Sus scrofa: one gene and its partners. The protein of the gene in region 1 interacts with the protein of each later gene in a pairwise test. Links are inferred from orthologs where the notes say so. Each region holds a gene or a part of one and is shown on either strand. Other genes may lie near its edges.

The links.
Region 2: the proteins of TEAD4 (region 1) and CCDC172 interact in binary tests that used the Homo sapiens proteins (3 or more experiments, as listed by UniProt). The two-hybrid records come from large-scale screens. The link is inferred for Sus scrofa from reciprocal best matches to the Homo sapiens genes TEAD4 and CCDC172.
Region 3: the proteins of TEAD4 (region 1) and SSX2IP interact in a two-hybrid assay, tested with the Homo sapiens proteins (2 studies listed by BioGRID). The two-hybrid records come from large-scale screens. The link is inferred for Sus scrofa from reciprocal best matches to the Homo sapiens genes TEAD4 and SSX2IP.

The regions. Positions count from the first base shown.
Region 1 is NC_010447.5:67,164,700-67,168,438, reverse strand, and holds the start of TEAD4 (transcriptional enhancer factor TEF-3), read left to right. Parts: upstream 1-859; 5' UTR 860-884; coding exon 885-1,110; intron 1,111-3,739. UniProt on the Homo sapiens protein: Transcription factor which plays a key role in the Hippo signaling pathway, a pathway involved in organ size control and tumor suppression by restricting proliferation and promoting apoptosis.
Region 2 is NC_010456.5:126,548,076-126,551,826, reverse strand, and holds the start of CCDC172 (coiled-coil domain-containing protein 172), read right to left. Parts: upstream 2,716-3,751; 5' UTR 2,363-2,715; intron 2,206-2,362; 5' UTR 2,141-2,205; coding exon 2,062-2,140; intron 1,870-2,061; coding exon 1,784-1,869; intron 1-1,783.
Region 3 is NC_010448.4:129,087,120-129,090,770, reverse strand, and holds part of SSX2IP (afadin- and alpha-actinin-binding protein), read right to left. Parts: intron 2,833-3,651; coding exon 2,722-2,832; intron 443-2,721; coding exon 307-442; intron 1-306. UniProt on the Homo sapiens protein: Belongs to an adhesion system, which plays a role in the organization of homotypic, interneuronal and heterotypic cell-cell adherens junctions (AJs).

The DNA of each region.
Region 1 (3,739 bases):
TTCGATCCCTGGCTTCTTTCAGCAGGTTAAGGATCTGATGTTGCCACAAGCTACAGTATAGGTCACAGACATGGCTAGGATCTGGCATTGCTGTATCTGTGGTGTAGGCCTGCAGCTGTAGCTCTGATTCAGTCCCTAGCCTGGGAACTTCCATATGCTGCAGGGTGGCCCTAAAAAACAAACAAAAAGATTTTTTTTTCATTTTTAAGGCTGAATAACACTCCACTATACGTAGAGACCACATTTTATTTAGCCATTCATTTGTCCATGGACACTTGGGTTCTTCTGTCCCTTGGCTGTGGTGAATAATGTTGCTTTGAACATGAGTGTCTTTGAGACCCTACTTCCAGTTCTTTTGGGTATATACTCAGAAGTGGAATTGTTAGGTGCTATGGTCATTCTCTTTGATTTTTTGGTTGGCCCTCCATGCTGTTTTCCTAGCGGTCACACCATTTTACATTCCCACCAACAGAGCACAGTATTTTGTATGCTCTTGGCCCTTTTTGGTCTAATGTAGAACATCCATGGTACTTGGCCCTCATCTAACTTCTCAGCCCCATCTGGGTTCCTAGAGCCACAATCAGACAGTGCCTGGTTGCTGAGCTCCTTTGATGGGGTGGGGAGCTGAGGTCTGTGGAGGGGAGATGACCTGCCCTTGACCAGCCCCTCCCCACCCCGCCCTGCCCCGCCCACCTCACTCTTTGCCCCATGGGATTCCCTGGCTTTCCCCTTGAGCTCCTGGGCCATGAGCACCAGGAAAGGAGAAGCACCTGGTTCAGGGGTGGTGCTCCCTGGGTTCCCCCACCCCCTTGTCCACACGTTCATCCACCAATGCTGTGCTTTCTGCCCACCCAGGTCCAACGGGCGCTCCTCCAAGCGGAGCCTTGGAGGGCAAGGCCGGCACCATTACCTCCAACGAGTGGAGCTCTCCCAACTCCCCCGAGGGGAGCAACGTCTCTGGGGGCAGCCAGGCTTTGGACAAGCCCATTGACAATGACGCAGAGGGCGTGTGGAGCCCCGACATCGAGCAGAGCTTCCAGGAGGCCCTGGCCATCTACCCGCCCTGCGGTCGGCGCAAGATCATCCTATCGGATGAGGGCAAGATGTACGGTAAGGAGGCTGTCAGTGTTGGGCAGCAGGCCCGCCAGCTCATGGTCCAGCCCCAGGAACAGCCTGGGCACAGCAACCCGGTTCCCTCCAAGTGATGGAAAGAGGTGACCTCTTGGGGCTTGTCCTGGCAGACGCTGCTTTACTCTGTCCTAGGCTCCCAAGGGCTGGGAGGCATCAGGGGAGACACCTTTGGGTGGCTGTGAGGATGGAACTTGGGAAAGCCTAGAACATCCCCCCGGGGCAGGCTGGGAAAATCCCTTTAGCCACCCCCCAGGCAGATGCCTGATCTCCCAGCTTCCCACTGTGGCTGTGAAGGCCTTTAGGAAGGCGGTCCTGGTTCACTCCCTCATTCATACCTGGGCCTTTGGTGTGCCAGGCAGGGGCGGGGCAGATCTAGTCCCTTCTCATGGTACGTGGGGGTGGGCATACAGGTAACTGTACACAAGGCGTTGAGAGTGTCCCGGGGTTGGGGGGGGGTGAGGACCACCCCCCTGCAGGAGTGTGCCCCTTAGCTGAGAGCCATCAGGGAAGGCGTGGTCTGGGGCTCCACACGCCCTCTGCGTCATTGTCAATGCAGGACACAGAGGCACTTTGTCCCGCAGACCCTGGGAAGGAACGAGCCGTCTGCCTGGGCTGTGTTGACTTTGGGATGGAAGAGAGGGTATCTGGGAAGCAAAATGAACACGGAACAACTTTTAGAGGCTCCGTTCAGGCTTCCATTGCCATTGGAAAGTTCCCTGGGACCCCCAGCCTGAAACACTGGGACTGGGTAGGAGCTGTGGGGATCTCTGACTGGCTGAAGCCCCTGTCCACAGAGGGTCTTGCCCTGCTTCCCATGAGATGGCTCTGGGCCAGTGCCCACCCCCACGTGGGTGCCCCTCCCCCAGCACAGATGCCTCATCAGCTGACTGATCTCAGCTCCTAGGGCTGCTGTAAAAAACCACCTCGAATTTCAGGGCTGCCTTAAGATGACAGACATGTATCCTCTCCCGAGTCAGAAGGTTGAAGGTCTGAACTCAGGGTGCTGGGGGTTGGCTCCCCTTGGAAGCTCTGCCGGAGGATCTGATCTGTGCCCCCTCCCAGCTTCTGGGGGCAGCTGGAGGCCCTTGGTGTCCTTGGCTTGTAGCTGTAGCACTTTGGTCTCAGACTCTGTTGTCACATGGCCGTCCTGTCTGTCTGTCTTTGTGTGTCCTCCTCTTCTAAGATACCAGTCGTTGGATATAAGGCCCCCCTTAATCCAGTGTGCCCTCATCTTAGCTAGTTAATTCTGTAAAGACCCTGTTTCCTGGAGTTCCCTGCTGGCCTAGTGGTTAAGGATCCAGTGTTGTCACTGAAGCAGCTTGGGTCACTGCTGTAGTGTGGCTTTGATCCCTGGCCCAGGAACTTCCAGATGCCATGGGCAAGGCCAAAAAAAAAAAGATCATTTCCAGATACGATTACATTCTGAGGTTCTGGATGGATGTGAATGTTGGGGGCGGCGGGCGCTGTTCCACTCTGTTCAATTAACTAAACTCAAATCTGCTTTGTGACTGGTCTAGGGAGCCAGCCCCACCTGCTTGTCTTTAATCTGCACCTGCCCTGCAAGGGCAGGGATTCCTTCTCCTGCTGGAGGAAGCAAGGTCCTTTCGAGCTAGACCCCAGCTCTGCTCCTCGGTTACCTGTTACAGCTGCTCATCCGACTTTACCAGCCCCTCCGCTGAGGCTCTGCGGGGCCCCCACTTCTGCGGGTCTCCACGCCCTGGTTTGGGCTCCCCTGGCACCTTGCTCTAACCACGTCCTGCTCCAGTGGTTGCTTCTTACTTTGGGTCCCCATGGAAGCTTCACGGAAGAGGCAGCCGCTGTGCGCAGAGCAGCTGTGGGTGCCAGGGGTGGGACCTGCTTTAGGTAGGCTCTTCCCGTGGAGCTGGGTGGCCTGGGCTCTTCCACGGCTTGATGGAGAGTGGGGTGCGTGTTGGTCATGAGCTGAGGTGTGACGGTGACGTCGTGGCGGGGGTGTGGCTGGAGAAATCAGGGTCCCTTGATGGGGCAGTGGTCAGTGCCCAGGCGCCTAGCAGGATTGATCTTCCTGCTTTAAAAGGACACATGGCCTGGCAAATACAATTGTGTTCGAGGCGCTCGGTGTGGGGAGAACGCTGAGGGTGCTGCCTGTTGGGGAGGCCCCGGTGGTGGCAGGTCTGGAGAGCCAGCAGACAGTCCTCGCGTGCCACAGTGGGACCCACTGTTTCTTTGTTACCCATTCTTAAGTGTACAGCTCAGTGGCATTAAGTACGTTCACATTGTGGTTGAGCAGCCATCCCCACTGCCCGTCTCTAGAACTTTCTCATTCCCTCCAACTGAAACTCTGTCCCCGCTCAGCACTGGCCCCTAGGTCCCTCTCCCGCAGTCCCTGGTACCCGCCATCCAGTCTACCGCTTTGGCTAGAGCTCCTCCAGGGCCCTCATATACATGGAATCACACAGTATTTGTCCTTTTGTGCTGGCTTTTTCACCTGACATCATGTCCTCAGGGTTCCTCCGTGTCATTTCAGGTGTCAGGATGTCCTTCCTTTTTAAGACTGAATCACCTTCCACTGTACGCACGAGCCGGTGGTGTTTATCCGTTCACCCAGCTGATGGATATCTGGGCGGAT
Region 2 (3,751 bases), on another chromosome or scaffold:
TCAAAAAGGGGATTAATGATGATACCTCATCACAGGATTCCTGGCAGGATTAAAGGAATTAATACAAGTAAAGCATTTAGAACAGTGCCCAGCATACAGTAAGTGCTCAATAAGTGTTAGCTATACATTACCTCATTGCATATGTTTTGCCTATTATACTAATTTATAGTTTCCAATCCCGAAAGTATCTTAATTCTTTTTAAGGAAAAATTTAAGCTAAATCATAACATTCTTAATGCTTTCTTCATGCCATAAGCTTTCAGTGTTGCTGGTAGCAGCTAGTTTATCTGCTACTCACAGGCAAAACAGGACCAAGAGTTTCACTGAATAATATTTCCAAATTCTATTTTAAAAGACAACACTCTCCATATTATCTCCCTATGAGTACTCATTAATTTATTCAAAACACTAATGTATACTATGTGCTAGGCACTGAATACAGGCTGTAGGAATAAAATTAATGGTTAAAAAAAAAAATTCTAGGAGTTCCCTGGTGGCTCAGTGGGTTAAGGATCTAGTGTTGTCACTGCTGTGGTACAGGTTCAATCCCTGGCCAGGGAATATCCGCATGCTATAGCCATGGCCAAAAAATAAAATAAAAATTAAAAAATCCAAATATATTGCTCACAAGATAATAAGGGATATGAACACAAGTATGTACTGTTTAGTTGTGGTACCCCGAATGCTATGATAAAAAATTTTTCCAAGATGTACAAGGGAGGGCTCATGGTGAAGTTGAAACAAGTCTTGAAAGGAAGAAGAGAAGAAGCCTGCCAGGTGGAGAAAGAATCTATGATTATTTTAAACAAAAAGAGAACAGAAAATTTCTCACAGTGGTAAGTCGATTTGACTTATTTTAGCAAAGAGACTTTCTCAAACAGATTTCCCATTGCACACTGCAGCAGAGTTTATCTTTAGGAGTTGAATAAATATTTTTGTATGACAGTCTGCCCCTACCCATAGTGAGGCCTTTATTGTGACATATTTGGATGATGTTCTTAGTTCCCATTCTCCCAGAGCTCAGAGAGAGCTTCCTAAAGCCACTTTTATCACACCATTCCCTGATCAAAAACCTACAATGGTTTCCTCCTATTTCCAGATATCAGCCCTCTGCTTTGGGAGATTTCTCTCCCAATATGCCTCAGCCATGTCTCCCTTTGGTTCACATTCTCCCCCTGCTTCAAATGCTTTTCACCTACCACTCTCCTAAATCCTACCCACACTTCAAAATCCTCCCTCAAGAAGTCATCTGATTCCTTTGCTTCTATTTCAAATAACAGATCTTTACAAATGCTGCAGCCAAGTGTGAAACGCTAGTGGGAAAATTATCCTTTTGGATGAAAGACATGTCCAAAATGTGGTAGAGAGTTGAAAAACAAAAGGCAGACACTCATCGGAAAGTTACATTCAACTGTTACATCAACACAGCACACTTCTTAAATTATTTATCACTCAAAATTTATATCCCTTACCAACTACTTATTGAATTATTCTTTTCCCAATGGCATTGTGCTCTTCTGAAACGTTAATCATGCTGCAACACAATGAATTCTTTACTTAAACTGGTTTCTTTAGCACAAATTCTTGTTAGGATGGAAGTTCTGGATTCAGAACTTTATTACCAGACAACATGTAACTACACTAACTGGCATGGTAGCACGCTTCCTATTAAAAAAACAATAATAATAATGGAAGGACAATTAGTTAAACAGTAAAGTATCCTCCAAAAGTCGAGTGAAAACACTTTTTCAAGTGATAATGAGCATGCTGTGTATGTTACTACCTTAGATTCCAACTTGATTTTCTCTTCATTCAGCTCCTCTGCCGCTTTCTTAATATTTTCACGACATCTGTTTATCTCCGACCTCACTGTAAAACAAATGCTTAAACATCCATCCATCTTTCTGGAGTCCCCATTTCAGGGCTTGTGATAAGACACCTTGCAGCTGTCTTCCCCTCGACGTGGAAAGCAGACCCCCTGCTCTGTCCGCGGCCTGGGCATTTCTTTCTGCTCCAAGCCCCCAACCCAAGAAGACCCAGGGCCCCAGGCAAACGCCCGACCTTCTCGCAGCAAGCGGCGACTCTCCTCCGCCCGGTGCTCAGAGAAGATGATGTGCTGAAACAAGGACTCCAGACTCATCTCGGGCCGGGCACCCGCCAATCCCTTTTTCACTCTTAAATATTTTATAACCGAGTCTGAGGATCCTGGAAAGAAAGCACAATAAAGGATTATTCCAGGACAATGCCTAGCTGGGCCTCGCGCGACCTGCGCCCTGCCCTCGCCAAGGGCGGGCCCCACGCGGGCTGACGGGAAGCTCCCAGCGCCTCGAAACGTGCTCCCAGCCCCCGGTTCATCTCTTACGAGGGACAAATCCGCTTTTTTCTCCCCGGCGCCCTCGTTTCGCCTGTGACCTGTCTCAAACTGCTACTTCCCGGGACTGAGCGCAGCCCTCCTCCGCCGAGGCCCAGGAGCCTGGACGGGTTTCTTTATTCTGGCGGCAAAAAAAATGGAGGCCCTAAGGCCTCGGCTTCGGAGTGGTCTGGACGGCAGCCCTTTCTGTGGTCCGCCTTTTCCTTTCAGCCCCCTCCCTTTTAGGGAAAAGGTCCTCAAAATACTCCACCTCTTAGCAAAACCTGTACTTGTAATTATACTGTGGGCTGCAGACCTCGCAGAAGCCCGCGGACAGCGCCTCAAGCTGGCCGGAGCAGATGGGAACTGAAACTACGGCGTCCGGTTGGGTCCACTGCGCATTCGCGTCTTTTGCTTTGCTTTGCTTTGCTTTGCTTTGCTTTGCTTTGCTTTGCTTTGCTTTGCTTTGCTTTGCTTTGCTGTGGCCATGTGGTCCTCAAAGGTCTTAGGCCGAGCTTGGAGTTGGGGTGATCTGTCTCCAAGGATCAAACCCAGGATTATAAAGTACAAAGTACCTGTGATTCTAAATATAGACTTTTGCAAAGTCTTATCCTTTGACGATGGGAAAGATTGCTATAAATGTGCAGTGTCTGACATTCGCCTTAATCATTCCTTTGTAATCAGGGCAGATCTTTTTTGTCTGCTTTAAAATTAATCATTGCCTTTTGTAATCAAGCTGCAGTAATATTAACACTACAGTATCTGCGCAATATGTGTCAGAGACCAAAGTGGTTGCTAATTAAAGCTTAAACATGAAAGGCACCTTTGGGACTTTGATATGGGATTTTTTTAAATTAAAAAATAAAATACTTTTAGTTTTAACAGAACAAAATATTAAGAGTATAATAAACATTTGACTTTGTATCTTAATGTTAAATTGACATTGGCTAAACTTTTAAAATGTATTTAGTATTAAGCAAAAAAAAGATAAATATAAATTCTGTCACATCAGTATAATAAACTTAATTAATATTTTATTAATGCTGTAGCATAATCAGTTAGAAATGTTAACCTTTTCAAATTTCCTCTTAAATTTCTGTCAAGCCATGTATACAGAAAACTTAATTTTTAAACTTTATTGTGAAAGAATACATACTGAAAAGTGTAATGAAGTAGAAAAGAATTGCCCATAAATTGCCCATTCAGAAGCAAATATTAATAACATTTTGATTATTGTTCTTTAAGTAATCTTCCTCACCTTGCATTTTTTTCTTTACAAATATATTGTGATGAAGTAATAATAATTGTTGTTATTTATTGAGTATTTGCCAGATACCAATCCTTTTGAGATGATTTTTACTACAACCTTCATAGAATAATTGAGGAAACAGGCACATATCT
Region 3 (3,651 bases), on another chromosome or scaffold:
TGCTATGAAAGGTTAGGGTATCCTCTTGCTTAGCTTTTCTCTATGGATTAATCCTATACCTGTCACATTAAAAAAAAGTATGCAATTCCTATATGCAAGTAATGGAGCAAAGCAAAATTATTATTTTTTAACTAACCAGTTGTCTCAATTTCTAGTTTATATGGATATAGACCATCTAAAATTATTTGTATAGAGCATGAAAAGGACATTTCATGAGTTATTGAGCTCAATCCCTCCACATTTATTTCTTTGTGTAATACTAGCTTATTTATTCCCTTTGCACTATCTTAGCCAGCTGCTTCTTACCTATTTTTTTATCCTTCTTGTTCATAACAAGTTGATGTAGACGTTCCTTTAGTTTATTATATTCACGCTCTTTTCTCTTCATGTCATGATTATATTGAGTAGCTCGACTTGCAATGATATTTTGTAATTTTTGCACCTAGAAAAAAGGCATTTTATATTGAATTAGTCCCTTGAGAATTCACTGGTAAACCCAGTTCCAATGTACAAATTCAAAAGAGAAAGTAAAGTCCTAGCTTTCAGCTCCTCATGTAATAGTTTAAAAGTTCTAGGATTATTCTTCCTTCTCCATAACCACTGGAAATCACTCTTTAAAATATCACTAAATGAGGAGTTGCTGCTGTGGTGCAGTGAGTAGGGAGTCCAGCTGCAGCAGCTCAGGTCACTGCAAAAGTACACGTTTGCAGCTGTGGCATGGGTCATGGCTGCAGCTTGGATTCTGTCCCTGGTAGGGAACTTTCATGTGCCTCAGGTGCAGCCATAAAGTAAGAAAGTAAAGTAAATAAATATCATTAAATGAAGCACATAAAGTTTTTATTTTTTAATTCTGAAATTTTCAGAGCTGCTAGCTTTCTAAATTATCTTCTACACCTTTCACCTTACATACAGATTCTGATCACTTAGAAACCACAAACTCTTACAAAGTAGTAATGTGATTAAAGCTTCATCTGAAACAAGCAGACTTCATCTGATCATCTGTAAGGACCTTATTTTACTTCAGACATGAATCGTTTCATCCTTTATCAATCTGTGACAAGGTCAATTAGTCATGGCACATGGAAGCAAGTAAACAGGTTCATTTTCCTCTGATCAAAAATAGTTTTCTGGGGAGTTCCCATTGTGGTGCAGTGGAAATGTATCCAACTAGTGTCCATAAGGATGCAGGTTTGATCCCAGACCTTGCTCAGTGGGTTAAGGGTCTGGCGTTGCCATGAGCTGTGGTGTAGGTTGCAGATTCGGCTCGGATCCCATGTTGCTATGGATGTGGTGTAGGCCAGCAACTGCAGCTCCAATTCGACCCCCAGCCTGCGAACTTCCATATGCCAGGGGTGACGCCCTAAATAAATAAATAAATAAATAATTTTCAAATTAGACTGAGACCAACAGCATACAGAATCCATTTCAGATATTTGCTGAGTACCTATTCTATGCTAGGTACTACTGGTCAATGTTTATATCTATTATGGCTTCTCAGGCAGTGTTGGATAGGAAGTAAGTTCTACTCTACATAGCCACTCTTTGCAACATACACAACAATGAAAACAAATGTTACAGTTTTACAGTTATGTGGTCAGAAAACTGCAGAGCAATAAAAACAATGGTTTCTATTTACATAAATTAAAAGATAATTCCAAAAGCATTATCTATATAGATCTGAATAATACTAAGTAAACACCAAAGCAAATATTAGAATTACAATGTCTTTAGCCAAGAAATGAAAATTTTTTTTTTTGGTTTTTAGGGCTGCAACCATGGCATATGGAAGTTCCCAGGCTAGGGGTTGAATTGGAGCTGTAGCTACCAGCCTACAGCACAGCCATGCATGTCTGTGACCTTCACCACAGCTTATGGCAAGGACAGATCCCTGACCCAGTGAATGAGGCCAGGAATCGAAGCCACATCCTCATGGATACTAGTTAGGTTCATTACCACTGAGCCACAACAGGAACTCCAAAATGAGATTTTTTTTTTTAATGTGAGTTGCTTTTTTTAAACAATAATTTGTGTGCCCATTTAGTCAAATAATTGCCTGACTGGATGAACAATAACATTTAAGACAGTGTAAGAAGAGGCATGCTAGACATAAGAACAGATGTGACAGAGAATAAAATACCTGCATTGAAAGCAGACCCTTACATCTAACAAAAAAGGGACAGTTCAAGTGGATACAGGATGGATGGTATAGAACACTGGCTGTCACCAGCTATGGACTAATACACTAAGCCAAATGGACCCCCCCAACCATGTCATGGAGAGAGTTCCTGACCTCTCAGTTAAATATGATACAATACTGGGAGTTCCCGTCATGGCGCAGCGGAAAGGAATCCGACTAGAAACCATTAGGTTTGGGGTTCGATCCCTGACCTCGCTCAGTGGGTTAAGGATCTGGTGTTGCCATAAGCTGTGGTGTAGGTCGCAGATGCAGCTTGGATCTGGCATTGCTGTGGCTGTGGTGCAGGCTGGCAGCTGTAGCTCTGATTGGATCCCTCGCCTGGGAACCTCCATATGCCCGCAGGTGCAGCCCTAAAAAGCAAAAAAGAAAAAAGATACAACACTGTACACAGAAGTCCAGCATCTCCATTTGACACAGGATAAATAAATGGTTCGCTCTTAAAGTGAAGTGACCATTATGATCACCTCAAATTACACACACATAAAAATTCACTGAAATTTTATCCATAATAACTGACAACTTACCTCGTCTTTCTCATTTTTCAGTAGCTGATGCAAATTCCTATTCTTGCACTGTAACTGTCTATCTCTTTCCTGAAGCCCAATCACTTCTCTCCTGGAGGTTTCCAGTTGTTCCTAAAACATTCATATGCAATTTTGATTAGTAAAAAGTCATACACACTAGGATTTGTTACCTAAAATTGAAGTTTAGCAGCACACGAAATGTTTATTTAAAACATTGTAAAGTTTGACACTACAGAGTTGCAAAATTTAACTTTGGATATAAAATTTTATTTCATTTAAATACCATTTTTTTTCTTTTTTGTGTCTTTTTAGGGCCGCACTCGTGGCATATGGAGTTCCCAGGCTAGTGGTCCAATCGGAGTTGTAGCCTCCTGCCTACGCCAGAGCCACAGCAACACAGAATCCGAGCCGAGTCTGTGACCTACAGCACAGCTCACGGCAACGCTGGATCCTTAACCCACCGAGCAAGGACAGGGATTGAACCCGCATCCTCATGGATGCGAGTCAGGTTGGTTGACCACTGAGCCACAACGGGAACTCCTTTAAACACCAATTTTTAATGTATGCACAAAAGACCTTCAGAGTGGATTCCTTGAAAGACTTTTCAACTATTCCAGTGATGTGGCCCCTGAACATTTTTATAATTTCTTTTTACTACTTTTTAACACTTCCACAGCACATTCTGTGAAAGAGCCAACAATGATTTGGAGTTCAGTCTGAAGAAGACAGGCGACCATGCAAAGCCGACCACTTCAGGTCAAAAAGGACGGGACCTCAGCATGACATCAGTTCTGCCTTGCAAGGGGTAAACTCTCAAGATTTCTGCTAGAGATCAATGGCAGAATCAATGGACTCAACATGGGATTAAGGTGCTCATTTCAGTGCATTCCACACACTTCTGGAGGAACTGGGCCAAATTCTGCATGAAGC